3 linked regions of the Oreochromis niloticus genome follow. The protein of the gene in region 2 binds, or shares a complex with, the protein of the main gene of each other region. Links are inferred from orthologs where the notes say so. Each region holds a gene or a part of one and is shown on either strand. Other genes may lie near its edges.

Region 1 (10,207 bases), on a different chromosome or scaffold from region 2:
TTTTTCGATGACGTCACAGTTGCCGAAACCCTTTGATGATCCCCTACCACGTGATATTAATGAGTCGAATGCATAGTTTTTGATCTCTTCCATAACAACTGTAGTTGTTGATAGTCTTCCATAACAAATGTTGTTGGGTAGATAGCTTGGACTGGGAGCACTGTAAGGTGCTAGTTCAGATTTGCAGCTACCACTCCCCGGAGTGTCGGCCAGAACACTGCTCAAGGCCCGGATGAAGGTTCAGAAGGGAGACAATGAAGACACCGAGGATAGTGCAGACTCTTGTATTGACTTCACACAGTTGAAGGTAACAGGGATTGTCAGAGGAGCAGGTATTGCATAGAGGTTTAGGTGCGTGGGTATGTGTGTGGGTGTGTGTGGTCTCTGAAAGGAACAGAAAGAACTACATTACTAAAGTGTTCACATCAATAACTCCAGAGTACATCAACATAAACACAGGTGGGAAATAACTAACATCCCCTTTAATACCATAGGCCATATATTACCCACAACTCATGCATAGACCCACTGAGAGAGCTAACACAGTACACAATTATACCCAACCACACTGCAGGAGAGTTAGCTTAGCTTAGCTTAGCACCCAGACAGAAACATAGTCATTTCCCCCCTAACTCCCAAACACATCTTATCATCACATACTCACACATCACAAACTTACGTTGGTCATTAACGCACACTTCTCAAGGAATGACCAATTCTCTGCTGGTAATCTGGAGCAGAAAAGCTCAGGTGCCTTGCCCCAGTGTTGCCAACTCCTCAGTGAGGAAAATCGCTATTGGTTGTCCTAAAAATCGCTAGAAGTCGCCAAATGACGTCATCGCCTAATTTGCATAATTGGTCATGCTAATGTAATTGTAACTTACATTGTTGGAGAGAGAAATAACATCGTGGAAGAGACATAAAGTGAGTAAAAAATACCATACATGCATTTAGAATTTATTTAGAACTATAAATTAAATTTCTTTTAGCAATTATGGTTTTTTAATGTCACAATTCCAACCCTGCACCTTTATCTGGGCTTGGACCGGCAAAAGTGACCCGAAATAGGCACTCTGGTGGAGTTACTTTCTTTGTGTGTGTGTGTGTTTACAAGTAGGTTTAAACCTTGTGATCCACAAAACAGCATAACAGTAAAAGAAGAACTGACTGTGTTACAGTCAGTGCGGGAGCAGCGGCTTCGCTCATGCGCGATTCATTTGCAGTTTGGACACATACTGTAGGTGTGAACATCTACTACCCTGATAGCAGCAGCGCGAGGACTATCCTTTGCCTGTGAGCGCTTTGGCACGGGCGAGGTGCCCACGGCAGCACCCGGTGCTTGTTGAGAGTAGGAGCGATACGCGCTTTCATGTCAAAAAGTCATCATAAATAAGTCTCCAATAACACCAGAAAAAGTCGCCAGATTTGTCGCTAGTCGCTTTTTAGAAAAAAAAGTCGCTAAGGGGGTCTGAAAACTCGCTAAATATAGCGACAAAGTCGCTAAGTTGGCAACACTGCCTTGCCCACGTTTCTCCCTGCCCATAGTCTCTCTCATACAAAGCGGTGGGGTGACCTCTACTGGCCACTCTAAAAAACTACAGGTGAAACTAACAACTGAACAGAATAAAACCATAACCACGGGGCCTTTTGTACAGTAGTTGTTGATAGTCTTGCATAACAGCTGTAGGTCCACAAGTTTTGTCATTAAAATACAGTCAGGGTAAAAACAGCGTACATTCTGTACCACATAATCAGGACATAATAAAAACGATCTAGCCTGTACCAGGTCAAAAAAAGTCCATAAACACAATCTGAGGTGAACAAGAACAACTCATTAAATATATTATACCTTGTCTTTATTTATTTATTTAGCAAAAATAAAGCAGAAATGTAGAAGCAGCACGTGAAAAACTATAAATATGCTCCCACGAGTCAACAGCTTGTCAAAGCAGCAACAACTCGATATAAATGTTTTGTTTGTTTGTTTGTTTGTTTTCCTTTTTTGGTCTCAGTCTCTCGAGGGGTTACGAAGGAATTTTGCCCACTTCCACTGAAAGAGGAAACGTTACCGTTTAAGTCTGCATTCACAAAGAAATCCCCTCAGATCGAGTTTTATATAAAACTTATACTTTTAAAGTCACAATTTAATTCTTTTTTAAAGAAAGGACAATAATAATCTGATTTTCATTTGTGACATTTTGAATTGAAATCATATTTTTTTGTCATTTAAAGCACCTTGAGGCAACTGGTGTTGTGATTTGGCGCTGTATAAATAAAATTGAAATGAATTGAAGACTTGAGACGTCTGAATGATCTTGCAGAAATAGTGGTGCTATTTTCCAACAGAGTGGACCTAGAGCTGTTATGCAAGACTATCAACAACTACTGTACAAAAGGCCCCGTGGTTATGGTTTTATTCTGTTCAGTTGTTAGTTTCACCTGTAGTTTTTTAGAGTGGCCAGTAGAGGTCACCCCACCGCTCAGTAGACTGGGATTTCATAGCTGTTGGCGAAACAATGTGAGGAAGAGCCCAAAAACTGTGGAGGTAGAGTTTCCCCAACTGTTCACGGTTGTTGTCTGGATTATGAAGTGAAAGAAATAATAATAGTTCGCATAAACAATAAGAGGACAGGACATCACAGATAGTAAAATCCCATTTTGATGCCACTGTCATCTGTGTGAACCATGTTGGTGTGTTGTTTTATGGAGTTTCAACAGCAGCTCCACCTCTATGATAGTTCGATTGAAGTGATCTGAGGCCATTAAAATGAACCCTGTGTTATACACAAGCAACTCAACTAAAAAAGTCATTATATATGTTGTGGATAGGCATAGCTTTGGGTCACGTGGTGTCGGTAATAGTAGTAGTGATTGCTATATCACCTGTTCACGGCTCGAGGGAATTTTTGTGAATGAGTGGGTGATGGGGGAAGTCGACTTTTGCTAACCGCTCAAGCCTAGAATGTTTTGATCACTGTTTTTCTATAGATTTTAAGGATTTGATAACAAATGAAGGAGTTTTTAACCTGGAACTTTGAACAGCGGGCGCGTCAACATTATTCCCCTATTCAGCTGCTCGGCGACTCAAAGGCTTGACAGTCGCCAACAATATTTATTATGCCATGTCTTTAAGTATTTATTTATTTACCAACAATAAAGCATAAATGTAGAAGCAGCATGTGAAAAATTATAAATATGCTCCCACGATTCAACAGCTTGTCAACGCAGCATGTAAATGATGTTTGCCTCAGTCTCTCAAGTCGTTTTGGCACACTGAAAGAGGAAAAGTTAGGCTTTATGCCTGCAAAACTTGTACTTTTTAAGTAACTATTGAACTTTTAAAAAAAGAACGAAAACTAATAATATACTTTATTTTCTTTATTGTACACAAGTCACACGTCTGGATACCGACAGCGATGTCTTAAGACAGATATGTTCACTATTATTAGCGCACCATCTGCCGGTGAGCTCCTGCCTAGTCTGCTGAAGTTAGTTTCATATTTGACTAAAGAAACTGCATTGATTGGTTGTTTCACAGTAAACAAAAAAGTTGACTTTGGATTAATAATCTATGGTTAAAAAAAAAAAAAAAAAAAAATTATACACAAACGTCGTTATTTTAAAACTCGCCCTATTTTCACTGCCTTTCAGAGAGAATGAAAGGCAGTGAAAAAAAATATACATACATACACATATATATATATATATATATAGAGAGAGAGAGAGAGAGAGAGAGAGAGAGAGAGAGAGAGAGAGAGCGCGATGGATGAGCAGTGGATTTGCAGCATATAATTCAGCAGCAGACACAACTCTTTTGAAGTTAGACTTCATTCAGTATCAGGCACTAAGACTCTGCACAGATGCATTTAAAACAACCCCAACAGCAGCGTTACAGGTAGAGATGGGTGAGATGCCACTTGGAAGCAGAAGACAACAACTAACACTTAATTACTGGGAAAATCCACAGGGCCATGGACAGGATCACCCAACACAACCTTGCTGGGAGAAAGAAAGGTGGGTAACAAAGAGCTTTGGATGGACTTTAGGTAGAAGAGCAATAGAACTTAAATTGGACCAGTTCAAGATCAGTCAAAGATTGGCGTTACCAGCAATGCCTCGATCGATACTTTCTGATGCCACCGGGGATTTCACATTATTTGAAAAGAAGAATAGGGATGGGGCATTTAATTTAAACTCACACACAGTAGAAGCTTACATTGACCAGCATTATAATTATGTTTAAATATATACAGATGCATCAAAGAATACAGCCAGTCAAATTGGTGTAGCATTTGTTGTCCCAGAGTTCAAGGTCAAAATAGGTAAAAGGATCAATGATGGAGTGTCAGTATACACTGGAGAAATGCTAGCAATACTGTTAGCTGTTCAATGGGTAAGACATGAGACCGTTAAAAACAGCCATTTGTTCAGACTCAAGCTCGTCATTGGTCAGTTTACAGTGTAGCCACTCAGAACGTAGAGCAGATATCCTAACAGAGGTTCAGCAGACACTTTCTATAATACACATGATGGGACTTAAAGTTGTGTTTCTATGGAGTAAAAGCCAATGAATTGGCAGCTAGAGCTGCGAAGGAAGCCACAAAACATGGGGTAGTTGACCTGGGCATTAGCTTCGGTCAGACAGAGATTGGACGAGTATTGGAGTATTGAAGAGTATTGGACGGCAAGAAATGAAAAAAAGACACCAGAAACAGTGGGAGTAGGAAAGGAGGGGACGGTGTTTGTACAAAATTCAAAGGAGGGTAGGAAAAATGAGGAGGTGGTCATATCGAGAACAAGATTTGGACATGCTGGACTACACTATTCATGATAAGGAAACATAAAACAGGGAAATGTGACTACTGTGGAGAAGGGGAAACGATAGAACATGTCATCTTACACTGTCAGAAGTGCAGGTGGAGAGAAGATAACTGACCCAAAACCTCAGTAAGATAAAAATGAAACTAGATCTTATTTATTTCCTGCAAAAGGACTCTAGAAGTAAAAGTTATCAGGTCTTATTCCAGTTTTCAAAAGAGGGTAAAGAGGTGTTTGGGAGGATTTGAGTTGGGGGGTTTTTTAAGCGACGTTCCAGTCAACACTCCATACCAGTTGGTGGCGGTAATGCACCCTTCAGTTGTTTGCCAACCGCCAAAAAAATTTAGAAGAAGAAGGAATCCAAACTATCTTCGTTCATGACGACTTCTCTGACATCCAATTGGCGCGCCTTGTGTACGTTTGCCTCACAGGTACGTTGAAGCAATTATAATAAAAACTGCGCACGGGTGGATTAGTGACACTCACAACAGGCTGTGTATTTGCTTTTAACCAAGACTTTATTTGGCCGTGGCAGTCAAACGTCCAACAGTTGAGCTAAGCTAAGCGGCTATTGCTTTTGTTAGCTAACGTCGGCTAACGTTGAACATCAAAGATGTACACGAGTAAGGCGAGATATGTAACTGTGCAGGACTTCCGCGTTCGCGTTTGCAGGCACGAGAGGGTTCTGTTTTGTTATCTGACCTGTTAGAGCTAACATGACATAGTAGTCGTTTTCCAAAAGCAACTGTATGGTAAAATTTGCTAATCTGCATTTTATATTATATTTGGGCTGGGTTTACCACGTGTAAGCACTAGCATATGCGGATTTATATCTTGATTTTTTTGTGTCTTTGGCTAAAATTGGAGAAAACCCGTGTGGCTACGTTAGATATATGTACTAATAAAACACCGAGCATCTTGACAACCGAAGCCGTAAACAGACCGTTTCTGTACCCTGTCTCCAAGACTTATTTTAGAAGGTAATAAATAGCCCTGTTCATCGATAGAAACGCGCTTTGTTTATGTTTATTTGATTTCCGTCAGCCTGCTTCCCTTTCACAAAACACAGCCGAACTAGTGCGAGAGTGAAGATGAAGAGATCCAAAGGCGGTGGTGACGAGGAAGCTCCCCGGCAGAATGGCTCAGCGAGCCGAAGGAAAGCAGACCAGCAGCAAAGTGACGGGGACGAGGGTGGCAGTGACATCGGCCCAGCCGACCTGCAAGACGACGACAATGACCAGGGCCTGAGGAGAGAAATCAGGAGCAAATACAGAGACCTCATCAGCTCAGTGCAACGTGAGTGGCAGGTTTGGGGATTGCCAAAGTTGTTGATTTGTATGTATTCCAAACAAATCCTTGATGTTTGTTCTTCTTGTTTTGTTTTTCAGAGAACAGGGAAGATATGCTGAGCCCATCAAACAACAAACTAACAGAGGTTTTAGAGGAAGCAAACAAACTTTTTAAAGATGGTAGGTCTGATACATGCAAATGAATAACAGGCCAGCAGATCAATCATTTAGACCTTACAGTTTTTTGGGGGGTTTTGGTGGCAGTTCGACAGGCGAGAGAAGCAGCCCTGGATGCACAGCTCCTTGTTGTGGCTACAGACCTGGGGAAGGAGAAAGCCAGCCAGCTGTTCTCCGAGGGAACCGCTTTCGATCCCACTGCTTTTGCTGAGCATCTCGTGAGTATGATTACTGTATCATGTCTGTCCTTCAGTCACCTTGCATGAGTGGTCCATACAGACCTTGCAGTATTTCTGTCTGGATTTGCAACTCGAGCTGCACATGCTTTTGTTTTACCTTAAGTTATGTATGGTTAAAAAAAGGCAAGGAGGGCAAAACAAAGCTGACAGTAGTTTGTTTAGTGGACTCATTTGATGGCCAGACACAAACCCCAGTAATCATGAAATGTTAAATATGTGTCTGTAGGGCTGTGCGATATGACGAAATATATCGGATGATAAAATGAAAACATCTATCGTTTCATATTATACGCTATCATTTGTTTCGTGGTGTCACAAAATACACTGTTTATGGCAATATTTTTTTCGTTGTTTGGATGGTCATCGTGTGGATGCAGGCACAGAGAATACCAGCAGAAAGAGTATGGAGAGAGTTTACGGATGAGAAGCAAAAAAAAGAGCTGTCAGGTGCTCAAAATAAACCTTAGACTCAAACATTAGAACAGGCTTTTACCCGCAGCACGGCATGTAATAAATACAAAGGAAATTGCAGCCGTTACAACTTATATCTAAAAATATGTAGTTTAATGCATTGGTCCAAACACTCGACTCCAGCTGAAAACACTTCACACAAGTCGAGTTGCCCGAGATTCACAGAATTTACAGAAAATGCACTATTTTGTCATATATATCATCGGGATGAGAAATGTCTTATATCGGGATATGAGTTTCTGGTCATATGGCACAGCCCCTATGTTTCTTTATGATAACGCGTTAGCTATAGCAGCTTTGTACTAGTTTTTTTTTCCTGTTCATTTAAGTGAATAATACAGACACAAATGCTAATAAATGTAGGAAAATGTGCTTTTTTTTAAACACAACTTTCAAAGCATCACATACTGCAGTGGTCATGTGGCGATGTCTATGTTTCTCTACAGTTGTCGTTCATGGGTTTGAACCGACTAGAAGATGATGAAGACGAGCAGCAGACCACTGCTAATGGCTACCTGCCGCAGGATGCCTGGCACCGATTGGCCAGGAGAGCAGAGTGCTGCTTTAGGACAGCCCCCTCTTTCCACTACATGTGAGTGATTTAGAAAGTCTGTTTACTAGCTGGGACCGCAGTGCCAGGGTTTTTGCCTGCCAACTAAAAATAGACTGATGTTCTGTGAAGAAGCAAATTAATAAGACGGAAGCTTTCTTGGGACAAGCACACGTGGTCTTCTGCCAGTCCATAAAAGTAGAATAAGTGGTTCCAGATTAGCTGCCAGTAATCAAAGCATCCTTGAACAGCCCTGTGCCTTTTCCTACAAACTTTTCATTTCTCTTAATTCTTTTTCTTTGAAATTATTAAGCACAGGAAGGATGTAAAGTAGAAAGATTTGGGAAAGGACAACCACAGTCCTAAGGGTATCTGTTTGCACTTACACTAGGCTACTTAGTAATGTAAGGCTGAGGGCTGCTGTGCCGAAACTACAATATTCTGAGATAGAACTACAAAAAACAAGTCTTAGACACGTCTTTGCACTTTGCATCCCTACCATGTTGTGCAATTCTTGGTAAATGTGGACAAACAGGAGCAAAATATGACAACTTGAAAGACAACTTGTGCAACTGGGTTACAGTTAAGCTTTAACTCCAGTTTGACCATTTTAATGTGTCTGCTTGTTTATTTGCGAGCAGTTTTCTAAACCCACTTTGCATAGTTTGCCACAAGATAACACCTAGGGGTGGGCAATGTAGCCTCAAAACTTGGTTTTGAAACTCCAGCAACATGTGTAGTATAAAAAACACTTTATTACTTGACCAGCGTCTTCCTGGGATGATGATGATATTAGACTCACAATATTGTTACATGTTGAGCACTTCATAAAGTTGGCATGTTGGGATGTTGTACCTTGGTCAGGCTTTGCTATAGTTTATACTGGGATAATATACTTGGCCAAAGAATATGTAAAGACTTGAGTCATTTTCATCCACTGTTTGCTCCTCCTGTCACATGGAGTGCACCTAACAAGTGCTCGAGTGATGCCAGGTTGTGTCGTTTGCTGTCATAGCCTGGGTATACTCAACTTTGTACTTTTGTCTTAAACAAAACAAGTTTATTGTTTCTACCTTTAAGAGGAGGAGATTTCTTGCATATTTTACAAAGTATTTTGTGGTGTTGGAATTTCTTGGTTGTTGTTTAAGCAGTCTGGGATTGTGTCATTGTTGTGCCTGCTGGTAAACGCATGACACTGTCGTGCCACTCATATCAGGTTGCGACACTTTTATATCACATAAAAATTTATGCTGGTAAATTATGGATGGTATGATGTGGCAAAATTTTACAGCAGCAGGGTAATGCTTGCTCAGTCATGCTTAGGGTTTTGCAGTCATGTGATGTTATTTTGTCTGCTATTTTGGGAATTTGATGCTGTACGGTGACGTGAATAAGGTCCCAGTCACGCAGTCAGCAACCCCCTGGCAAGCAGCAGTCGTAAAGGAGAGAGATGTGTATTTCCTGACCAGCTGGTGAATGGTTGCTGACACAAAGAGGTCGGCCGTTCTGCACAAATATCCTCCTCTTAATTGTTTTTCACTAGCATATTGCTCCAGTTGCCTGTAGATTGCATGCAGGATGGCTTGTCTGCAGACAGTTGCCAGCAGCTCGCTGAGTGGTCTTTTTTTTTTTTTTTTTTTTACTACCACGATGGAGTTAGTTGGTGAGTGTTTGCAAACAAGTTGGTGTCTTCCATGGAAACTACAAAGCAATCTGCAGGACTAAAATGATCACAAGGATGATTTTGGTGCGGCACCCTCTTTATGGCTGATTCTACCTACCACTCACCAATCAGTCACTCCCTGGTGGCGGTGTCATGTCCAATATGGTGGACAACTCTCAAACAATGTGAGCATAATGTCATCAACGCAACCTCACCTGTGGATTTAACATATCAAAAGTTCTAAACAGAAGGCGCATTGTCAAACTATGGCGTAAGATGGAACAACACAGTGGTTTTATGTGGATACATTTTCTGATTTTTTTTTTGTTGTTGTTTTTTTTGTTTCCCATCCCTCTGGTTCTTTGCAGGATGGGCTCGTTCTATGCAGAACCACCTCCCCCGAAACAAAGGATAGAACGGCAAAGAAAAGCACCCAGCAAAGAAGCCAAAAGGATAATGCCTACTCAGGTAACTGAAATGACACTTCCATGGCTGCCGTTACCTACATGTAGTTTAAGATAAATGTAGTAGCCACCCGTCCCTGTTTCCATTTTCCACACATACACAAAGTTTCACCACATTATCCACCACATTGTTGGTATTTGAACCCAGTGATCCCTGTGAATCTTCTTCTGTTGATTTGGAACCCCTGGAAGTTTATTTTAAAGCTATTATTACTGATCTTGGTTTGAAGTTGGACAGTGATTCTTGTAAAACAGAGCATATAACCCCTCTCCTGGCCTTACTAACTGGCTGCCTGTATATTTAAAGTTCAATTTAAAATTCTTATGTTCATTTGAAAATCTTTTCACAATCTTACCCCACCGTACCTCTCTGAGCTTCTTCACCCCTACACGCCCTGTCCGTCTCTCAAGTCAGCTGACCAGCTGCTCCTGGAAGTACTGAGATCCAGGAGGAATCTTAGAGGGGACAGGGCCTTATCTGTCGCTGCTTTAAATTATGGAATAACTTTCCCTTACATGTTAGAGAGGCCCCTTCA
Region 2 (10,669 bases):
GTTTACTAGGACTCAGCTCTGACCTGTCTGGAAGTTGGACTTGAGCACGTCTGGAGGAAGTGCAATCACCCAGTTTAATATTCCGGCTACACCACCAGCCAGGAGGATTCTGGGAGTGCTGAGCTGAGACACACTGGCACACAGAGAGAAGTGAAAGCACAGATTTACAAGATCTGACAAATCTTTGGTCTTTATAGGAGTTAGAACTATTCAAATGGAGACTGACCTTTGACCCTCAGGGGTCAGGAAGTCCTTGAGGTATTCATACGTGAGGAAGTACAGACCGCTAGAAGGCACGTCTGAGACGGAGATGGAGAGAGAAACAGTCACATCGCTAAACCTCCGGTCACCTCAGCTCCTCTGCTCGAGGTCACACAACACTGTCTGTCACACACAAACATACAGATACACAAACACAGTGCAGCGTACCTCTGATGAGAGTGAGCACAGTTCCTTTGTAGACGCTGCGGATCCCCTGCTCCTTATAGAGCCTGACCGCACAGTCCAGCGGACCTGCGTACTTGGACCTTCCACCGCTCGACTGCACCTGGAAAACACACATTTCACAACATTTACTTAAATACATAAATATATGTGTAAGTCATGCTTTTAAAATATGTTTAAATATGTGTTGGATTAAAGCCTCACATAGAAATTAGTTTATAACTAGTTGGGTTATGGTATAACCATTCAGTGAGTTAGCGTTGAGCACATGAATAAAAGTTACACAATAGATGTTTAAAGCTGGAGATGTAAGCAGAGCGACTTCTGCACGTGTCTGTGAATGAAGAGCATTTGGTCTCAAAAAGCATCGTAAATTATAATCAGCCATGAAACAAGTGTTTACTTTGGATTCTGATTATATCACACACACACACACACACACACACACACACACACACACACACACACACTTACCTGTAGCAAACATTTGATCCTCTCTCCTGGAGCTACTATCACTGTAGTGAAGACTCCTGCCAGACAGCCGGACAGGAATATCTGATGGTACCTGAAGAGAACAGGTGATGGAAGCTCAGTCTCACTACCAGACAGCCACCTCAGTAACACCTGGGTACTCTTCCAGGCAGTTATCATGAACCATGATCTAAATTAATATAATTTTTTATTTCCCTGGTCAGCAGGACCGGCAGGATCTTGTATGTATTTAAAACAGCTTTCTTTCCACTGGAACATCCGCTTCTACAACAATCTCTGCACAGCTGCAGAATTCTTTCAATTTAAATTCAGGATTTTTTGAATATTCGTTCGCTTTGAATCTCCACCAGCTGCTGAGGGAAACATCTGCCTCTGTAGCTGCAGATGCAATATTTGCACCAGTTAGTCTGTAAAGAGCAGTTTCTTGTTGCTACACCTGTGAGTCAGCTGCACATCAGCAGGATGTTGATGAAGAAACCTGAGGGTATGAGTATTTGGACACACTTCCACACGTGAGCATCTTTAAGAGCAGCTTTAAAACATTCTTACAACAATAAATGAAGATTCAGAGATCAGATCACTGGACATGCTATGATGGGTGGATTAAGGCTACTCTTCTTAAAATAGCTTTCTAATTGGTTGGATTGAAAGGTGGGTGGGGCTTCTAGACCAAAAATGAGACTGCTGCTCATTTATGACATCATACAGATCCAAGAGTAGAAAAGAAACTGACAAACTGAGTGTTTAGAGCGGTTTGAAGCCTGAACTGAAGTTATCTTGTTATTGGATCACTGAGGTTTCATAATTAGTAACATTTTATGTGTAATGTATTTTAATGTATTTAGTGCTTTAAATCTCAGTGGGTCTTTGCGGGTAAACAAAGTAATAAAATGTAAAAATAAAATCAAAAGCACTGTAGATACACTGAGCTCAGTATTATAACTATGGCCACCAGTGGAACATCAGTGCCAGGAAACAAAGGATATCAGGTCCTCTCTGAACACAGGATACTGTAGTACTGCTCACTTAACTACAGACACAATGACTGTGTTGCTATAAAGTCTTCAGAGGTGAGACAGAAGCTACCAGTAATCTCCAACTCATGCTTAACATTTCATATATATGTCAGGGTAACAGGACGGGGGTGTGAAGGGGGCGTGCTGCTTCAAATGAGCGAATGACAACAGAAGGAAGGGAGGCAGAGCGAGAGTTATATATAGAGAAACACACAAGCGACAGTGTGTAAGCTCTGGAGGAGTGTTTGAAGGTTAAGGTGACGTTTAATGATTAGATCTACCCTTTTAGCTGTGATATTCACACATTACTGATGTTGAGCCTATTTTAAAAACAGCTGGATGTGTAACAGGTCTGCTCCAGTCTACAAACACAGACAGGGGTAAAAACAAGTACGCTCTCTGTCACTTCTAAGGTTTTAAACAGGTCTTAAAATTGGATCAATTCAGCCTCAGATGAACAACAACACATGACACTTTACACCGACTCACTCTTAAACAAAAATGAAGCCAAAAAGCAGAAGCTGTGTGTGAGAATAAATGCACCTCATGATTCAGCAGCTTTAACGGGAATGAGCTGAAGCGACGGTTTCCTGCATGACTTCATGAGTCTGTCACCTCACTGTGGAGGAGTTTTATCCCACTTGTCTTCACAGCGTTGCTTCAGCTCATTGATGTTTGCAGCATTCATTTATGCACAGCTCTCTGAAGGTGTGTGTGTGTGTGTGTGTGTGTGTGTGTGTGTTTGTACTAACGTGAGCGGTTTTCCAGAGGCCGTCTGTTGGAGCTGTTTTCCAAGACCAAACCCAAAGAAACTGATGGCCATCATAGGAGCCACACCTGCCAGGGGAGCCCCCATACCTTTATAGAGACCAAGGATGCCCTGACACACACACACACACACACACACACACACACACACACACACACACAAGATTTTAAATGAGTTTCTAGTTTTTATTGAAGTGTCTGTACTTCAGTTGATGTGTCACATGTTGAAAACAGAGCTGACTATTGGCTCTGGTCTGTGTGACTGTCCGCTGTAATAAGCAGAAAGCGCTCACCTCTTTGGATACGGTCTTGCGTAAGCAGTCATACGTTCCTGTGTAGAGCACATACTGAGCGGCTTTGGGCTGTGTTTGTAGTCTCACCTGAAACACACAGTTTAAATAAGAAGAATTACACACACACACACACACACACACACACACACACAGGAGGATTGCTGAGTGCTGTCAGACAGGAGGAGACACCCACTAACATCTGCTGCTCTGTCACCGATAAACAGGGCGGTGTTGCGCTCATGTGACGGTTACTGTGATGATGATGTGATCAAACTGTATCTTCACAAAGACTCAGTGTGTCGCACACAAACACACTGACGTGGTTTAGATAGATTAGAAAAAGATCTGGATTAAAAATAACGTACATGTTGTAACGATATGTTTCTGCACATTCAAAGTTACTATATGTGAATAATAAAGTTACACAAATCATTTGCAGTTATTACTTAAAAAAACTAAGTTATAAGTTTGTTTGTTTGTTTTTTAAAAAGGTGAAAATGCTATAGTGAGAATAATGAGACGTTTCCAGCTAATTGTTGTGATGTGTTCAATAAATGTGATGCTTCATGGCATTACTTTGTTTTATGTCATAAATCTGATTTTAACTTCGTGAGTTTGAGCTGCACACTTTGTACCCACGCTGTGACATTTCCTCGACAGTCTCCCGCAGGCTCTGAGCAGCCTCATTATTCCGTGTTCAGGTGGCCGCCTCGGCAACAGTTTAAGCTGATTTGTCGGTAATCTCTTCAGCACCTACACGATCTCTGACATTTCCTGTGACTTCCTCAGAAACATTAAACACCTGAGAACCCCCCCACACGGACACACGTGGACTGAATGTTTGTGTCTAAAGATCTAAATAAGCTGCGTTGAAGCTCGGCTGGGGCTGCAGCTCTCACCTTGATGGTGTCCAGTGGGTGTCCGGCCAGCAGCAGACACGCTCCTCCGACACCCCCAGCCACGAAGTTCTTGAACGGAGACACTCTGGGCTTTTCCTCCATCCCGCTGACCCCGCATGGCCCGAGCACACAGCCGGGGAACCTCACCACCTCACACCGCCGCTGTCCCGGGAGGGGAGTGTGCGACTGTCAGCTGTCTGTCTGTGGGTCTGTCTGTGTGTGTCTAAGTGTGTCTCTCCGTGGACTTTGTCTCTCAGAGCTGAGCGGAAACGAGAAGAACAGTTTTTTCCTGTAAATAATTTATCTTCACAGTCACCCCTTCACATGTCCATAAACTCTTTGCTTTAGTCATATGGCGCACTTTAAACCACTGCGTTTTATATTTTTGTAGTTCATAAAAATCTGCCGCAGGTGTATTCACAGGTGAGGTTGAAACAGGGGAGACAGCGCCCTCTGGTGTTCACAGGACGAAAGATTTGATTTCTTAATAATGTCCAAAGTAAAAATACTACACTGCAATAGTACACCTGAGGGTCCTTCACTGCTGAAAGGACTTCCTTACCTCTGCTGAGGAGGTTCTGCTTTCGGCAGTGTTTGCGTGTCATCCCATCTGAAAACACGAGAGTTTTGAATAAATTCAGATCAAACTTTGCAGGGTTGCAGATGGCGTCATGTTAACCGTCCATTGAAATTCAGCTTCCATCCACCAGCGTCTTCAAGGTCATCTTCAGGAGTTATTGGTGGAAAATGGCCAAAAGAAACTATGATTCCCAAAAGTGTGGTATGTATCATCAAGATCTACAAAGTAACATAAAACATATAAAATACGCCACATTTGACGTCTCCTTCAAGGTCAGTGGATCGAGCTGAAGGTCAAAATGATGATAATGCTGTATAGGGCTATTTTAAACTTCTCATTCACATTGTTTATATTGACAACAATAACAAGGAAGTGGATAAAAATAGGGAATCATATATGGGGATTGTAAATATTGTGGTACTTTGGACCTCTGACCTCTTATTCAAGGTCAAATAACATCAAACTTTGACAAAACGTCTTTTATCTTTAAAACTGTGCTTAAGATTCTGCTTGTTTGTTCGTACTGGCTACATGAAGGAAAGGATACTGGTATATGGGGATTCTCACATCATAGTTGCATCCTAATAGCTGGACACTCTGGTGACAGTGGCAGAGAAAAGGACATTAAAGAAACTGATGGACATTATGGACAATGCTGGGCATCCTCTGCACACAGCCATAAACAACCAGAGGAGTCTGTTCAGTGACAGGTTGCTTCTCCCAAAATCAAGAACCAACAGACTTAAAAACTCCTTTGTCCCACACGCCATCAGACTGTTTAACTCCTCTCTGGAGGGGAGAGGGAGGGGAAACAGGAGGACAAGGGAGGGGGGAACAACTAAGCTGCAGTGCCTCTTCACTTCACTGTGCAATACTTTTTGCTAATATCCAACGGTGCAATAGACTTCAATACTTGAAATGTGCAATTCCCTTGTATTCTTATTCCTATTTATTCTATTTATCCCTTTCATATATTTTATTTAAATATGTCTGTATTTATATATGTGTATATATAGTATTCTGCTCACGTTCTGTAACTTCTGTCGGTGCTGTGCTATTGGAAACCGAATTTCCCAGAGGAACCCACCCAAGGGATTAATAAAGTTTTATCTAATCTAATCTATCTATCTAATATTGTCTTACATTTGACCTCTGACCTCACTTTTACATTTCTGCCTTTATTGATCCTAAAATGTGTTCAATCTTTAAGGAAAGTATTTTCAAGAGGAAGAGAGAGAGAGCTCTATTATTATATAATAACCTCAAGTTATTCATATCCGGTTGTTTACAAAGTTATCCACTCTTACATGTTTATAGAAAAATAGAATATTATTCCCTTAACAGTAAGTACTGCCCAGAGAGCGAGATGCCTCGGTGGATGTTTGTGCTTCTTGTTCACACGTTAATTACTGTGACTTGCATATTTTCCTATAAAATCATTTATTCAATAAAACTCTAAAATCTCATGTAGCACATTGTTTAGCCTAAATAAACAGTCTAAGATGACAATTAAAAATGGTGATGAATTAAAAGTACATACAGTATTTTACTTTTGAAACTGTTCAAATCCAGAATTTCTAAGATTGAAACACTTTTTTTTCAGCAATTTTTATGTTCTCGAATATCAGACTGGTGCAACAATAAACATGGGACTTTAAATATAATTTTTAAAAGTAATAATAATGGAAATTATTTTCCTCATCCAGAGGATGACATGGAGGTATTCATAGTCGGATGAAAGGGTCTGTAGCTTCGTCTTCAGTATGGACAGTTACATTTATCTCATACAGAGGCTGGTACACTTTCCAATGGAATACCGAGAAGACTTTTTAACTTATTATAAAAAGTTTTATTATAAGTTAATAATCTCATTTCAAAATTACACATGTGCTCTTCCTACCAATCACAGAAGCTAACAGCCGACGAAAAGTCAACAGGTGCAGAGGTCTGAAAAAATATATCAATTTAACTAAATGAAGTATGAAGCTCATCTTGGATTTCTGTTAGTTTCATTTTAAATATGCTAGTCTGTAGAATAAATTCCAGTAGTTCCTCACGTGGGTCCTCCTGTGCAATGAATTTAATCATAAGTTATATCAATGTGATTATTTATGTCTTTATCAAACGTTCATATTTCTGTTCATTGGTAATTATGCAAATTAGTCCCTTTTTACACGTAAACTAATGAACATTATTATTCTGGTGAATTTGTAAAATAAAAATAATTTTCTCGATATAATAAACCTTCAAACTGTCACAGGGAAAAAATAAATAAAATCAATCAATTTATATTTAATTAATGACTGAAACCAACGACATTTCTGTCGAATGAAACGGAAAGGAAAAGCGGCAAGTGCAAATGACGTCATCAGCAGGCGCCTACAAGCCCCATTAGCGGGAATTTGACCGTTTGGAACCGGTGGAGGATCAAAGTGAGTCATCTTCTAAAACATACAGAGTATGTGAATCTTCTGTTAGCCACGCTGTATCCCGGGAACTCCGGGTGAAGTATTTTAGGGCACGTAGTTAGCAACGCTCTCTGCTCTGCTTTTCGCGTAAACGATCTGTGGCCACTTCCGGGTTGTTGTTTTTGTTCAGCCTGTAGACTTTCTCGTTTAAAACGCGCCGAAACACACAGAGAAACACACACACACACACACACACACACACACGCGGTGTAGCTACGGTGATCAGGTCCCAACAAAGTGAATGTGGGGTAAACACTGTGTTTGTGTGGGACAGGTCAGCGCTGAGTCTGAAATTTCAGATCTAACTAGGTTTGCTCGCTTACAAAGAAATGAACAAACTGATTTTTACAGTAGTTTGATTTTAATGGAGTGAGACGGAACAGCCAATCACGGAGGCTGAAACATGCTGTGGGCTGCTTTCCTGCAGAGGGTACAGGATGACCTCAACCATATTTCAACCAATAACATTCAAATTATGTTATAACTTTTATGTAATGGTTTTTTTGGGAAGGGGGGTGGGTGATTCTCTTTCTATTAAAATAAAACTGCCATAAAAATTAGACTGTTTGTTTCTTTGTAGGAGAGCAAACTTATAAATTTAGGAATGAGGTCAAATAATTCTTTCCTCCTTTGTAAATACATCATGGCCTTAAATACTCCTGTATTGTGTTTGGCTTCACTGTTATTTCAGTTGCTCTTCTGTCTGGTGACAGTTCCTCTGTTCCAGTTGGGATGTATCCCTGAATCACAAACCTTCTTCAAGACACATCTGACAGTTTTACCATTTTTAATCCAGTGATGATGCACATGCTGTATCACCTCACACCATAATTTCCTGCAAAGCTGCAAACAGAATGACCTTTGGTGACAGGCTGATCATCTTCAGATAATGATAAACCGCCTCCCCTTCGTGTATGTGAAAGTCAGACTTTAGAAAAGTGCATGTACTGCAGAACCATTCGAGATGTGGCGCAGGGGGCCAGGAAGAAAAATACTGTGCAGTCCAACCTAAAGAGGGACATCTGTTCACCCTACCTGTCTCCTTTATCAGGCGGTGTGTCGCCATGACGCAGAGGAAAAGACCGTCCAGCACACAGAGCTCCTCTCAGAGAGTAAGTCCTTCATTTCTACCACAGAAGAAATCCTTTTCACTCCGAGTGTCTGCAGTGTTACAGTAATGAGAAGCGCTAGAGTAAAGTGGTGAACTCGAGACCACGTCCAGATCAAAACCACTGCAGCTGGAAAACAGTGACCCACGCAGGACAAAAGATTCAAACTGTGAATCTTTTTTCCTGCATGGAAGAAATATTCACAGGAGTAGTTTGATAAATAATTACCACTGTAACTACTGTTTAAAAAAAAAAAAAAAAACTGAAGCCAAACTAATATTACATCCACTCCACGTGTCCCAATTGTAGGCGCTTCAGCATCATGGGATATAGAGTTTGATTTAAGTGCAGTAATTTAATGTCTGTGACGCAGAGGGACAGAAGCAAGCTCCGGCTCTCTGGATGTTTGCTCTGGAAAATGTTTTGCATGGTTTCCATAAACAAAGGCTGACAAACATCAGAGATGCCACGAGCAGAAACCGCTGAAGCAGCTGGACGAACAGGCCGGTCCCTGATGGCGGTGAGGTAGTCTGAATGTCACTTTAATGGAAACCCTTCCACATCTTCAGCGGGGTACCTCAGGGTCATCGGCACTTCGTCGAAGTCAGGGGTCTCAAACTTGCTGGCACTGTCATCTCACTTTAGTGTTCAAATAGTACAAAACAACCAAACAAACAAGAAGAAAACACAAACAAATATTTCCAAAAGTGTAGCATTTTGTTTGTTTTTTATTTTTTATTCCAATTTTGTATAACAAGACAAAACTGCAAACTAACTGAAGATTTCATTGAACTACCAAATAAACACACCAGTCCTCTATTTCTGGACAGACACACTTTGTTCGTATGTAACAAAATACAAACACAGACACAAATGTTCACATTAGTTTGTGACTCTCACTGAACTAACACAGCCGATCCCTCAGCATGTTTGTGCTCTCTGCTCATATCACCTTCATGTTAAATCATTAGAAAAATGTATTTTAACATTGCACTCAACAACAAACAAATCCTCCCTAACAGAAAAAGTCACTTTAAGGGCCAAACTGTGTTATATTTCTTGACATCAATATACGGGCTGCGACTTTGAGGTCTAAGCGTAGCAGCAAAGCCAAGATTTTGACCTGTGGAGGGTTCCGGCTGCGAGCTCAGACCAACCATAACCATCCTGAACTGGTTTCGGCTGCTGGATCTCTCTTCCCAGTGATTTTTTTTTAAAGTTGCGTGTGCTCCAAGCCGATCTTCTGAAAGAAACAGGGCACTGACGTTGTCGGGAAATTTTTTCATAGCAAAGGAGGCTGAGTGTGAATGTAGCGTCACTGCCACCTCGTCTCAGACTGATGCAGTCAGATGCTTGGGGCAGCATGGAGGCCAGGAGCTCATTGATTGCTGCTCCTTCTCTTTGAGACCTAGTAGCTTTGATTGGTTGGACTTGATGGTTTTTGGCGTTGACCCTCTGGAGGTCTGTCCGTTTGGCGATTATTGCAAGAACCCTATCGTGTCTCCATCTTCTCCCAGAGCTTTTGCACAGCCAGCCTATAAAAGTCAAAGTTACCGTACAGAAAAGAAAGCAGAATCTGAGGGTTTCAGTGAGTTTCATGGAGACTGATTTCAGACAACATTTTTCCCACACAGAGACACACCGGCAACTTGGTGGCTCAGGACGAGGATGATGACGTGGCCTTCACTCAGCCGAGTACATCACAGGTGCAGAGAGGGCTGGAGAAGCTCACACCTGCACAGGTCGACCAAAAGGTACAGAACAAGGAGAAATCCAGAGTTTGATTCTTAATGATCAGTAAAATGTATTTAATGTTTTTTTCTGTCACTCGTCTGTCTGCAGACTGCTGAGGTGGTGCAGTACTTCCTGGTGAAGGACCAGAAGAAGATGCCTGTACGGCGAGCAGGTACAGACAGAACCACCAGGGAGCGTTTGATGCCGCGTCTCTTTGAATACACGACAGCTTTCCACTGAAAAACCCTCCGAGGTTTCTATCAGCTGAGCTGTGAATCAAACAGGAGTAACAGTTAAACTGAGCGCTGAGGAACAGAAGTGTGCCTCGAAAACTGAGAGGCTGCTGAAGTTTGTTCATGTGTTGACGCTCGATACGATGTGTTTGCTTCTTAAACGCATCGTTTAAGTGAGAAGATTATCATTTTAAGAAAGTATTTGGATTTGATAGCAGCAGCATGTCTCATAAGTATGTTTCCCACTGTGCAGCATCCACTCATCTCATAACTACAGTCCATAAACATCTGGGAAATGAGTTCAGCAGCTGGACTTCTCCAGGTTTTAGTTTCCTCAGAAAACAAGAGGGGTTTTCTCAAACTTTGTTCTTAACCTTGAGCGTTCCTCTTGTGTGATTACAGCCTGTCTGAAAATTCTCAAATAAAACCAAATGAAAATATAAAGTTATTCCAGCTCAAAGGCTTAAACTGAAAACGGACTGTTTCAGGCCTGTTTGTGTAGAATAGGATCAGAGAGGAACAGCAGTCACATATAGGTTTGTTTTTAAAAAATATTAAAAGTCCTCAGTGTGTCGTGTCGGGTTCTGAAGAAGACGTTGTGAGTCTGCGGTGTTTTAAAACCTCGCTCGCAGC
Region 3 (10,287 bases), on a different chromosome or scaffold from region 2:
CGCCTATTCTTAATGCAGCTGTTTACACCGATCACGTAACTTTGCTGAACGAATTTGCAACATTAATTTTTTCGAATCAAGCTGAACTTTTGAGATTTTTTAGATCCAAATAAACAAATCTGACTAATCAAGCCACTGCATTTGTCAGCGAGTGTGAAGTTGCTCTAAACATGCACCCGTGCTGAGTAAACAAATTAAAAAATTAATACTTTTTTGCCTAAAAAACCCTCAGTTTCTTCCTTTTCTTGTTTAGAAACATCAGGAGCTTCCTTATGATTTCTGTCGACTTCATTTTTTGTTCTGTGTATTTTTTACGGACGAATTTTCCGCTAAAATGTCTACATTACACAAGTATGCATCCAAAAAATTCGGAAATTCATGTCACTTTTTTGCAGCCTGCTCAGCGTGTAACACTTGGACTGATTAAAACACAAAATGTGTGTGTGTGTGTGTGTGTGTGAGACCAGCTGGCATCTGCATTGGATCTTCCATTGCTGCGTATCAACCAGGCCAACAGTGCTGACCTGCTGAGTGTTTCTCAGTTCTACTCTGGAGAGTTGGTGTCCTATGTGAGAAAGGTAGTGTATGATGTCATTTTTTTTCTGCTTCTCTTTCCTCTTACAAAAGCTTCTGCTTTGAAATGTTTTGGTCTAATATTCTCTTAGTGTGTAGTCTCATAATTTTAACAAATGAGCTCTGCGTGCTGCAAACCGTTTTTCAGTATCAGTGCTGTAGCAGCTGCAGGAATGATGAATTTTTGAGAAACAATCTGTTTGGCAAATGTACCCACTAAGAAGTGCTTAGTGCATCTGTACCTTGACGTTGTGGCAACTTCTGAGCTATAACTTTATGCTGGAAGATTTTTTCCTTCTGGCTATACTTGAGATCCTTGACCTAATGGATATACAATAAACAGTCCTTTTTTTTAAAATCGTCTTGCTTCCAGGTGCTGCAAATTATCCCAGAGAGCATGTTCACTTCGCTAGCCAAAATAATCAAGCTTCAGATCCACGACATTATGGAGGTGCCCACACGGCTGGATAAGGACAAGCTAAAGGACTACGCCCAACTGACGGCTCGCTATGAAGTGAGACAAACTGTTGTGTATGAAACTGTCTCCTTCCCCTTGAGTTATGTTCAGAATGTCACTGACGTAAAGAAAAGGGAAAAAATATCTTCAGATGTTGTATAAAATAAAATAATAAAAAAAAATAGATAAGAGAGCTCATTTTGTTCTGTTTTGATCTCGCCTCATCAGCTGTATGGGAGTCGGAGGCAATCATGCTAACATTTTTCAATCTGCTCACAGCTTTTGATGTGAAATACAAATTGGAAAAGGAAGCGTGATATGGAAACAGATTGTGCCAGCAGACTTAGTTGAATTGGATTAATTAGAGTGTGAAGTACTGAAGTTACTTTTTAATTTTTTTTTCAGTCATATTTGGAATTGCAGTCCAGTGCCTTGAAATTAAAATAAGATCATTGTAGAATGGAACTTTTTTTGTTTTTTAAACTGAAAATCAATCAAAACATTGGCTTTTATATCAATGATTGACATCAATATTATTCATATATATATTATATTTTTGCATGCCTAAACATCGTTCTGTTCTGTGTCTTTGCAGGTGGCAAAACTAACTCATGACATATCTATTTTCACTGAGGGCATTTTAATGATGAAGACTACTCTCGTTGGGATTATCAAGGTAAATACAGTGATTAAGGTTTCTGAAATTTGAGAACAAAGATTTCTGTCTTTCAGAAGATTAAAACAATCCTGCTGAGGGATTTGGTGCAGTACAGGTTTGCTTTATTAACACACTGTGATGTTTAAGGTGGATCCTAAGCAGCTTCTGGAGGATGGCATCAGGAAGGAGCTGGTGAAGAGGGTGGCTTATGCATTGCACAGAGGCTTAATCTTCAATCCAAAGGCAAAGGTGAGACACTACACCTGCTGTATATTATGGATTTTTAATCTTCAGTTAAAGTTTGTAATATATATTCTGTATGTTGACCAGTTTCCATGTTAAGTTTCCCAATGATATTGAAGGATTAACAGCAGTAAAATAAAATAAAAGAGAAAAAATACTCAACTCTTTCAGCCCAGTGAACTGATGCCCAAGTTGAAGGAGATGGGCGCCACCATGGATGGCTTCTACAGGTCGTTTGAATACATCCAGGACTACGTCAGCATTTATGGCCTTAAAATCTGGCAGGAGGAAGTGTCCCGCATCGTCAACTATAATGTGGAACAGGAGTGCAACAGTTTTCTCAGAACCAAGGTCAAACTTAACACGCTTTCTCCTTTTCCCTGAGTAGTGCACTGAGAGCAGTTTGTCCCTGACTGATAGATAAGAAGTGTTCTAGTTGTTTGGCTGTTTCTCAGTAATAGCAGTTGGCTGATTGGCTTGTTTCTTGCTTCTCTTCAGATCCAGGACTGGCAGAGTGTGCACCAGTCCACCCACATTCCTATTCCCAAGTTTCCCTCTGTGGATGAGTCTGCCACCTTCATCGGTCGTCTCTGCAGAGAAATCCTCCGAATCACTGATCCCAAGTATGTCTCATCGGACATAACAGTGGAAGTGAAATAAGAGTTAGTGAAATTAGCAGAATAACTGAGTTTATATCTGAGGATGGAGGAGAAAAAAAATCTTTGGTTATGCAGTTTATTGATGGTGGAATACACTGGTTCTTCCTATAGGTTGACATGTTACATTGACCAGATGAACACCTGGTATGACCTGAAGAGCCACCAGGAGGTGACTAACAACAGATTGTTCTCTGAGATCCAGAACACCCTGGGTACATTTGGCCTTAACGGACTGGACCGCCTGCTCTGCTTCATGATTGTCAAGGAACTTCAGGTATTTACCCCAATATTTACCTCAGTATCCCCCCAAATTGCACCCCACCCCCCAAAAAGATGCCATTCAGGTCAACAAAGATAAAACCCTGAAATCATGTCAATCTTGGCAGTGTCTTTAGTGCATGTGGTATGGCTCCCAGATTGTAGTGATGTATGTGTTTGTCTCATCAGAACTTCCTGACAATACTTCAGAAGACCATCCTGAAGGACAAAGCTGTGGTGGAGGTCTTCAGAACATTGCAAGGTGCCGTCAGTCCAGTCCAAGGCATTGTGGGTAGGTATTCACTTAGAGAATCTATAACCTGCCTTTTCTTGTACAGATCTCATTATTGTTTTTGTTGCTGTAGCAAATGCCAGCAAAGTCTACAGCAGTGCTGTGGCCAAATCCCAGAAGATCTGGGGTACATATCAGGAAGCCATCATGAAGGTACTGCTCCATGTTCTCATGTTAATGAATAGAAAATAAAAGTAAAAAATTGTCACAATTTTCTGATGAAAATAATAAAATAATAATAAAATAATTTTGAATGCATATGTTTATTGAAGGTTGGTCAGATGCAGATTCTCAGACAGCAGATCGCTAATGAGCTTAACTACTCCTGCAAGTTTGACTCCAAACACCTGGCGGCTGCACTGGAAAACCTCAACAAGTCTGTATATTCTTGCCATAATGCCACTGAGTCGTTGTTTATATGTTTCCATTACTTACCCCCAAGTGCTACTCTGTGTTAATGACTTTTGTGATGGATGCTTCTGCTAATTGCATCATGTCTGTTTTAGTCTCACACTGTTCTTTTATGCTCACTCTGATTATGTTCTTGCCAGGTCTCTGCTGGCAGACATTGAGGCCCATTACCAGGACCCATCCCTGCCTTATCCTAAAGAGGACAACACTCTTTTGTACGATATCACTGCCTACCTGGAGGCTGCTGGCATTCACAATCCTCTCAACAAGGTTTGAACAGAAGGGGCATCTCTTCCCACATAATCAGTTAGTCTTGTTCTGATTTCACCTGAATCGAAATGAGTCTTTTCAATGACGACCACAAATGTAAGCTGTTTTTTGCTTTCTTTGGCTATACATTAGCAGATGTTCGTGTTCAGACTCTTTTTGTTCTACTTATGCTTCACACAGATCTACATCACTACAAAGCGCCTCCCGTACTTCCCCATCATCAACTTCCTCTTTATTATTGCTCAGCTGCCTAAACTTCAGTACAACAAAAACCAAGGTGATTTTTTCCCCCATTAGTTTTTTGTTTGAAGTTGATCAGAGATCAGGTTACACAGTTTTGAGTACAATGGGTCAGTCCTTGCCGCCTCTTCACTTACTTCAGTTGCAGCAGACTTTATTATTTTTCAGAAAGCGGCATTAAATATTATGGATTTGTTTTTCCCCACATTTTTCTGCTAACGCACAGTCCCTGAATGTCTCTGAATGTGGTTTTAATTTGATGTTTTGTCTTATGGTAGGAATGACCTGCAGGAAAGCAACAGACCCGGTCGACTGGCCTCCACTGGTGCTCGGCTTGCTCACCCTGCTCAAGCAGTTCCACTCCAGATACACACAACAGTTCCTGGCTCTCATTGGTCAATTCATCCGCTCAATCATGGAGCAGTGCACAAGGTAGCAAAACAGACTTCACAACTTCAGAAAGATTTCTAAAATAAGATTCGAAATCAAATATTCTGTGTGGTAGGTTTCCTTGGTGATGATTGCGGATTGTGTTACCGGACATAAAATGTATCTGGTTATAGCCTCATGAAATCATATTAAAGCTTCCGTTTGATCCTGTTATAGTCAGAAAATCCCTGACATGCCTTCTGATGTGGTGGGAGCTCTGATGTTCCTTGAAGACTACGTGAAGTACACAAAACTGTCACGTAAGGTAGGTGCAACTTTCCCTATATTATTTGTATTAGTGTTTGAAAATATTTTAAGTGGTTGTAAATGATAAGAGTTGACAAAGTTGACAGTACCCAGGGGTAGTAGTAGAGCTGAAATGTTGAAACATCAATATGCTTAGGAGCATTATTATTGGACAGCCAGATTTAATACCCATCAGCTATGGGAACAGATTTTAAAATACTATTTTTTGCATCTGTACTGTACTATATTTGTGTAACAGTAACATGTATTTCCTTGTGTTTTCTGTGTTTTTAAGGTGGCGGAAGCTCATGTGCCCAGTTATATTTTTGATGAGTTCAGGACAATACTGTGAAGATATGGATGAAGATTTTCATTTAAACATTCGGGTTTTTTGCCGAATGTTTTTCCACTGCAGACATTTTGTCTCAATGTAGTGACTGCACAGGTGTTACTAATAATTAACAACTGATTTGTTAGGTTTAAGTGCTCCAGCAAGCGTGACCACAGGTATTAATACTATTTTATTATTATTCACTGTGCCTATTCTACAGTGATATGTCAAATGTGGGGCCTTTTGATTTGTTTACTTACATTTCATTGTGCTAACTATCAGTGTCTTGCACTTACAGATTGTAAATTAAAAGAACATTAAAATGCAAATAAATCACTCTTACAACTTTATGTACTAAGATTCTGTGCCATTTATAAATGAAATGGATTAATAAATACGTTTCTTTCTATTAAAGAAGCAGTTTTGTTTTCCTTCCGTTTAAACATATTTTGTTAAAGCTTTTACTTTGAAAAACCATACCCGGAAGTTAGAAGTTAGCTTCTGTTGTGGCTCCGTTTTAGCGGGTGATTTGTGTGCGTTTGTATAGCATCCACAGTTTCTATAGTTTATTTACGTTTCGCTTGTTATTTTTATACTAAAAGCATTACTGAAACAGATTGTACTTGACGTTCATGTAGGTGTCGGTCATTTTGCCGGCAGAACTAGATACCTGTTAGCAAGCTAGGCTAACGTTATCGTTAATAGCACATTAAATTTAGCTCTGGTTTGTAGTCCCAAAGTAATAAAGGTAGCTTTCACAATGTCTCTGAGCGCTGTTCACGGAACTCTGTCGAGTCTGAAATCCTGTCAGGCTGACATCGGGACAGGTATGGACATTGTGACAGACGTGGCTATGGACCTGGCGGAAGCTCAGGGTAAATATTAAAGATTTTCTAAAAAAGCTCACCAACTCCATCTATAATCACTACATTATTTATAAACGTTAAAATATATCTGGTAAGCGAATAATTAATGTTTTTGGGTGCTTTAGATTTGTTTTTAAGGTTTATAACTAATTTTGGAGCGTACATTTAAAGTACTTTGCAAAAGACTTGGGCTACCCATCATTGGCTAAAAAGGAGCCAGACCTTCGTAATGTTTTCAAAATAGTCTTGTGCAGCAGTTCTTTGGGCTTTCTGGAAATGTTGCAAGGATTTTCCTTGGACATTGACTGCTTTTTTATTGACCATTTTTTAGGAATGTTTTTCATTCTTTGTTAAGCCATTGAACACGGACCTATGAATCACTTTAATATTAAAAAACAGAATGCACCTACCTCAAGGAACCCAGTGGCATGTCTACATATATTAAATAACTTAGCAAAGAACTGATTTTAAGTTGTATCATTAGGCACTTTGTGTTTTTGCGACAGGCGGCTAGTAACATTTTTTTTTTTTTTTAGTTGAATCTATGAAGAATGCCAGAGATAACACAATTGGACAGACATTACATAGGATTTTTGCACAAACAAGGTGATTCCCAAAGAGCTGCTAGCTGTTTGTGTGCGTGTGTGTTATGGTGTGACTGCTCAAGTGAATACTTCTTTGGTGTGCTTTTATGTTAAAGATGACGAGATGAACCCGGGCATCAAAGAGATGGAGGCCATGATTCTGGAGTGTGCCAAGCTGGACAGGGAGATTAACTACTTTGTTGATGTGGTGCAACAAGTCACAGCTGAGGTGAGAACAGCCTGAAGGTTTCCTTGCATTAGGCGACAGAGATAACGGATATTACAACAGTGTGCTTAAACTTTGTTCATTGTATAGAAAGTTTTGATGCACCATTTGTAGTGTAGACCCATCAGGTGATCCCTACTTGACTCAAGAGGAACATGTCATTATTGTCTTTAAATAATCATTGCATTGTTAATGCTGCTATTTCTGCATAAAGTGAGAGCTGTACATTAGAGCTCTTAAATGTGACACAGTTATAAACATAATGACTCATAATGGAGTCAATATAAAAGTCAGTTTAGTGACATTTTTTCAGCACTTAAATATTTTCAGTGATAATGGGGAATAGAGCAGAAAGTGTGCCATGGGACCACAACACACACACATTGTTCAGCGGCATCTGATTCTGCCTTTACTAACATACAGCTCAGCAGGTTAGATCACATCGTCAGGAATGGCTGAACATAATCTTGTGCAGAGTGCAGCATAGGTCACCATGGTGACGTAGCCGATGAGTTGGAAAACTCTTAACACTATGTTCAGAAGAAGACGCAAACCTTGGGCATTTGTGAAGCATTTCTGAATTAAATACAAATTATTGCAAATTATATAACACATTTCAATCACTGTAGGTTACCACTCAACAGCCGGAGGCTATGTTCAGCCTGTCTGCCAAAGTGAAGGAGCAGTTCACAGAGAGAATAGCCCGACTCTCTGATGCTGACCTGCACACTCACCAGAAAGTAATGGCTTTCAAGGAAAGTGTCAAAAACTCTTTCAAACAAGGTAAGGCCTGTGGAGAGACGGGAGAGATTTACTTGAATTAGACTCACCGCAGTGCATTCAGGACTTCTAATGGACTTTGATAATAGCAGTGCTATCGGAGGACTTCTTGCTGAGCAGAGAGATCTTGGGATGTGCCTTTTTTAGGATAATTAGCTTCATTTTAAAACACGCAGCTTCCTTTGTTTACCGTTGAATGATTGTTTCCCTGTCACCCTGTGGCTGTTATTTTCTGCTTTTTAACTCTTACTAATTACAGCTATGCCGGCCTCATATAGTGCCATGCTTTTGTGAGTCTCTGTAGGAATTATAGGCTACATTATGCTAAGTATAATGTTATTTTCACGAGCTGACTCAAAATGAAAATGTCTGAAAAAAGAGCCAAATGTGAGAACTTACTTTGAAGCATGAACTTTGTGAGCCGAGGTGATCATTGCAGTGTATTCTGTGAGGGCTTAGCCCATTGAACACCATTATTATTCACTGAATTAGTATTACTTCATGTTCCTGTTAAGGGATACATTTTGAGGTTTCAGATCTGCTTGCTTAAAGGCTGAAATATAAATATGTTGAATAGCATAATCATATGGAGAAGTTTACAAAGGCCACATATAGAGAGCAGTTTTTAATACTTTGGGCTCAAGTTAGCCTTTGAGTTCTTCAGTAGTTGTAGATGTGCCAGGACAACAACTGTAGATATGAAATTTATTTGCAGACTAAAAAAAAAAAGATGTTGTGTATAAAGTTGGGGTGTGCATGTGTGTGCAGTAAACGTTGGTGGATGGTGGTACGTACTATCAAGTTGATTAATTTTTTTACTCTGAGTGGACAAATGGAAGCAAACTGCATGTGCATTGTTTGTTTTTAGCTAACCAGGAGTCAGCAGAGAGCATGGAGGAGCTCGATGAGGACATCGCTGTGACACAGAGTCAAGTCAACTTCACCTGCCCACTCACACAGGTAGATTACTGATTAGATTTGTAGATTACAGGTAGATTAATCCAGTGTGTTTTCATGCCTCTGTCTTTGCCCCAGAGGTGTTATGTTTTCATTGTGTCCATCTACGTGTCGGGGTATTCCTTTAGATTAGGCACAGACATTCAATTGGACTAAAGGGTGAGCTCATTAGAGTTTGCATGGTCACAATCCAAAAAATTTGGGCTAATTATGACAAAATTTCACACCAGTCCCAGGATTATTACAATATTGGTGTTTTTCGGGGGCGACTGTGGTTCAGGGGGTTTGGAAGCTCATTTTGTAACCGGAAAGTTGCCGGTTCGATCCCCAACTCTGTCTGTCTTGGTCGTTGTGTCCTTGGGCAAGACACTTCACCTACCACCTACTGGTGATGGCCAGAGGGGCCGATGGCGCGATATGGCAGCCTCGCTTCTGTCAGTCTGCCGCAGGGCAGCTGTGGCTACAACTGTAGCTTGCCTCCACCAGTGTGTGAATGTGAGAGTGAATGAATAGTGGAATTGTAAAGCGCTTTGAGGGTCTCGAAAAGCGCTATATAAATGCAATCCATTATTATTATTTTCATTTGGCTCAGGCTAAAACATCTTAGGTGGGTGCCAAAATGTGTCTACGCAGAAAAAAACAAAAAACAAAATCCTGAATGTAAGATGATGTTTCTGCAAAATGCATCATTCTGATCTCGCTTGCTTGCTTGTTCAAACTGCTTTTTCAACAAAACACAGGTAACTTGAAACTTATTCTTTTGTGTCTCTGTTCTAGGTGGAAATGGCGAACCCGGTGAAGAACAAGAAGTGTAACCACCACTATGATGAAGCAGCAATCCTGGGCCTGATCAAAACAAAACACAGCCAGAAAAAGAAATGCCGGTAAGACACTGCATCTCTGAGGACCGTTAGAAAGTGGAGTCAGGTTTTCTAGCAGTAAATAACACTGCAGGCTGGTGTGGGACCAGCAGGCTGCCTTAATTTACATTGCCTTTATTATGCTGCTTTGATGTTGGAGTCAAATTAAATGTGGCTGATCCTGCAGGAACACTGATAAAATCCCAGCAGCAGTGTTGCTGTAAAATAAACTTGCCTATTGTCTTGAGCCCTGACTGTGGTCACTGCACTCAATTACTGCAGCAGTATGTTTTCCTTGTTGAGATTAGGTTTATGCTTGAAGAAATTGTGTTGTACCTGCAGTAAATGACATTCCATCAGACATCGCTTTCCCCATGCTTTAGCAGCCTCGAAGTTCCCACCGTTCAAGTCGTCCAGTTTGTCACAGCGTGTGTAACATCAGGGGACTCCGCAGTTTAGAATGCAAACATTATAATAAGAACACAAAAGATGGAAGTCCGGTTGCTGATAAGCAATCAGAATCAAACTGCGAGCACTGGCACAGGAAATGATAAAGCAAGTTTAAGCAGATGTTTAACGACTTAACAGTTACTCAACGATAAACAGGGCAAAGCTAATATGAAACTCATGCACAGAAAGCGTTTTTTGAGCTGTTCTGCAACTGTTTGTGTGTGTTTAAATGTCTGAAGCAAGTTAAGGTTCTCTGTGTGTCTCTGCTCCGTAGCTGTCCCGTGGTGGGCTGTGGAAACACAGATGTGAAAGATTCTGACCTCATTCCTGACCAGATGCTGAGGAGAAGAATCCAGAGCTACAAGAGGCAGAACAACCGGACTTAATGATGAACATTTCTATGGAAGTAATTAATAGTTAAAGAAATACTTTTTACTATAATGATTTTGTACACTGAGAATCCAGAATGTTTATATTGCCATCTGTGCTTTTATATA

The links.
Region 1: ndnl2 (region 2) and nsmce4a share a complex: the UniProt entries of both Homo sapiens proteins name them as parts of the SMC5-SMC6 complex. The link is inferred for Oreochromis niloticus from reciprocal best matches to the Homo sapiens genes NSMCE3 and NSMCE4A.
Region 3: ndnl2 (region 2) and nsmce2 share a complex: the UniProt entries of both Homo sapiens proteins name them as parts of the SMC5-SMC6 complex. The link is inferred for Oreochromis niloticus from reciprocal best matches to the Homo sapiens genes NSMCE3 and NSMCE2.

Annotation. Positions count from the first base shown.
Region 1 is NC_031978.2:22,360,387-22,370,593, reverse strand, and holds the start of nsmce4a (non-structural maintenance of chromosomes element 4 homolog A), read left to right. Parts: upstream 1-5,600; 5' UTR 5,601-5,637; coding exon 5,638-5,798; intron 5,799-5,862; coding exon of another isoform or gene 5,863-5,887; coding exon 5,888-6,114; intron 6,115-6,206; coding exon 6,207-6,287; intron 6,288-6,371; coding exon 6,372-6,502; intron 6,503-7,440; coding exon 7,441-7,586; intron 7,587-9,575; coding exon 9,576-9,675; intron 9,676-10,207. UniProt on the Homo sapiens protein: Component of the SMC5-SMC6 complex, a complex involved in DNA double-strand breaks by homologous recombination. The complex may promote sister chromatid homologous recombination by recruiting the SMC1-SMC3 cohesin complex to double-strand breaks.
Region 2 is NC_031984.2:1,636,678-1,647,346, forward strand, and holds the start of ndnl2 (necdin-like 2), read left to right. Parts: upstream 1-6,812; 5' UTR 6,813-6,924; exon of another isoform or gene 6,925-6,950; intron 6,951-8,011; 5' UTR 8,012-8,024; coding exon 8,025-8,072; intron 8,073-9,703; coding exon 9,704-9,823; intron 9,824-9,911; coding exon 9,912-9,975; intron 9,976-10,669. Other genes in the region: si:dkey-150i13.2 (mitochondrial carnitine/acylcarnitine carrier protein), read right to left, coding at 24-133, 227-299, 430-547, 919-1,009, 2,705-2,832, 3,014-3,100, 3,913-4,014. UniProt on the Homo sapiens protein: Component of the SMC5-SMC6 complex, a complex involved in repair of DNA double-strand breaks by homologous recombination. The complex may promote sister chromatid homologous recombination by recruiting the SMC1-SMC3 cohesin complex to double-strand breaks.
Region 3 is NC_031976.2:11,176,387-11,186,673, forward strand, and holds the start of nsmce2 (E3 SUMO-protein ligase NSE2), read left to right. Parts: upstream 1-5,528; 5' UTR 5,529-5,827; coding exon 5,828-5,942; intron 5,943-6,469; exon of another isoform or gene 6,470-6,484; coding exon of another isoform or gene 6,485-6,539; intron 6,540-6,633; coding exon 6,634-6,746; intron 6,747-7,372; coding exon 7,373-7,526; intron 7,527-8,391; coding exon 8,392-8,483; intron 8,484-9,257; coding exon 9,258-9,364; intron 9,365-10,064; coding exon 10,065-10,176; 3' UTR 10,177-10,287. Other genes in the region: washc5 (WASH complex subunit 5), read left to right, coding at 468-578, 947-1,087, 1,626-1,706, 1,836-1,937, 2,103-2,282, 2,430-2,554, 2,702-2,864, 3,038-3,140 and 7 more. UniProt on the Homo sapiens protein: E3 SUMO-protein ligase component of the SMC5-SMC6 complex, a complex involved in DNA double-strand break repair by homologous recombination. Is not be required for the stability of the complex.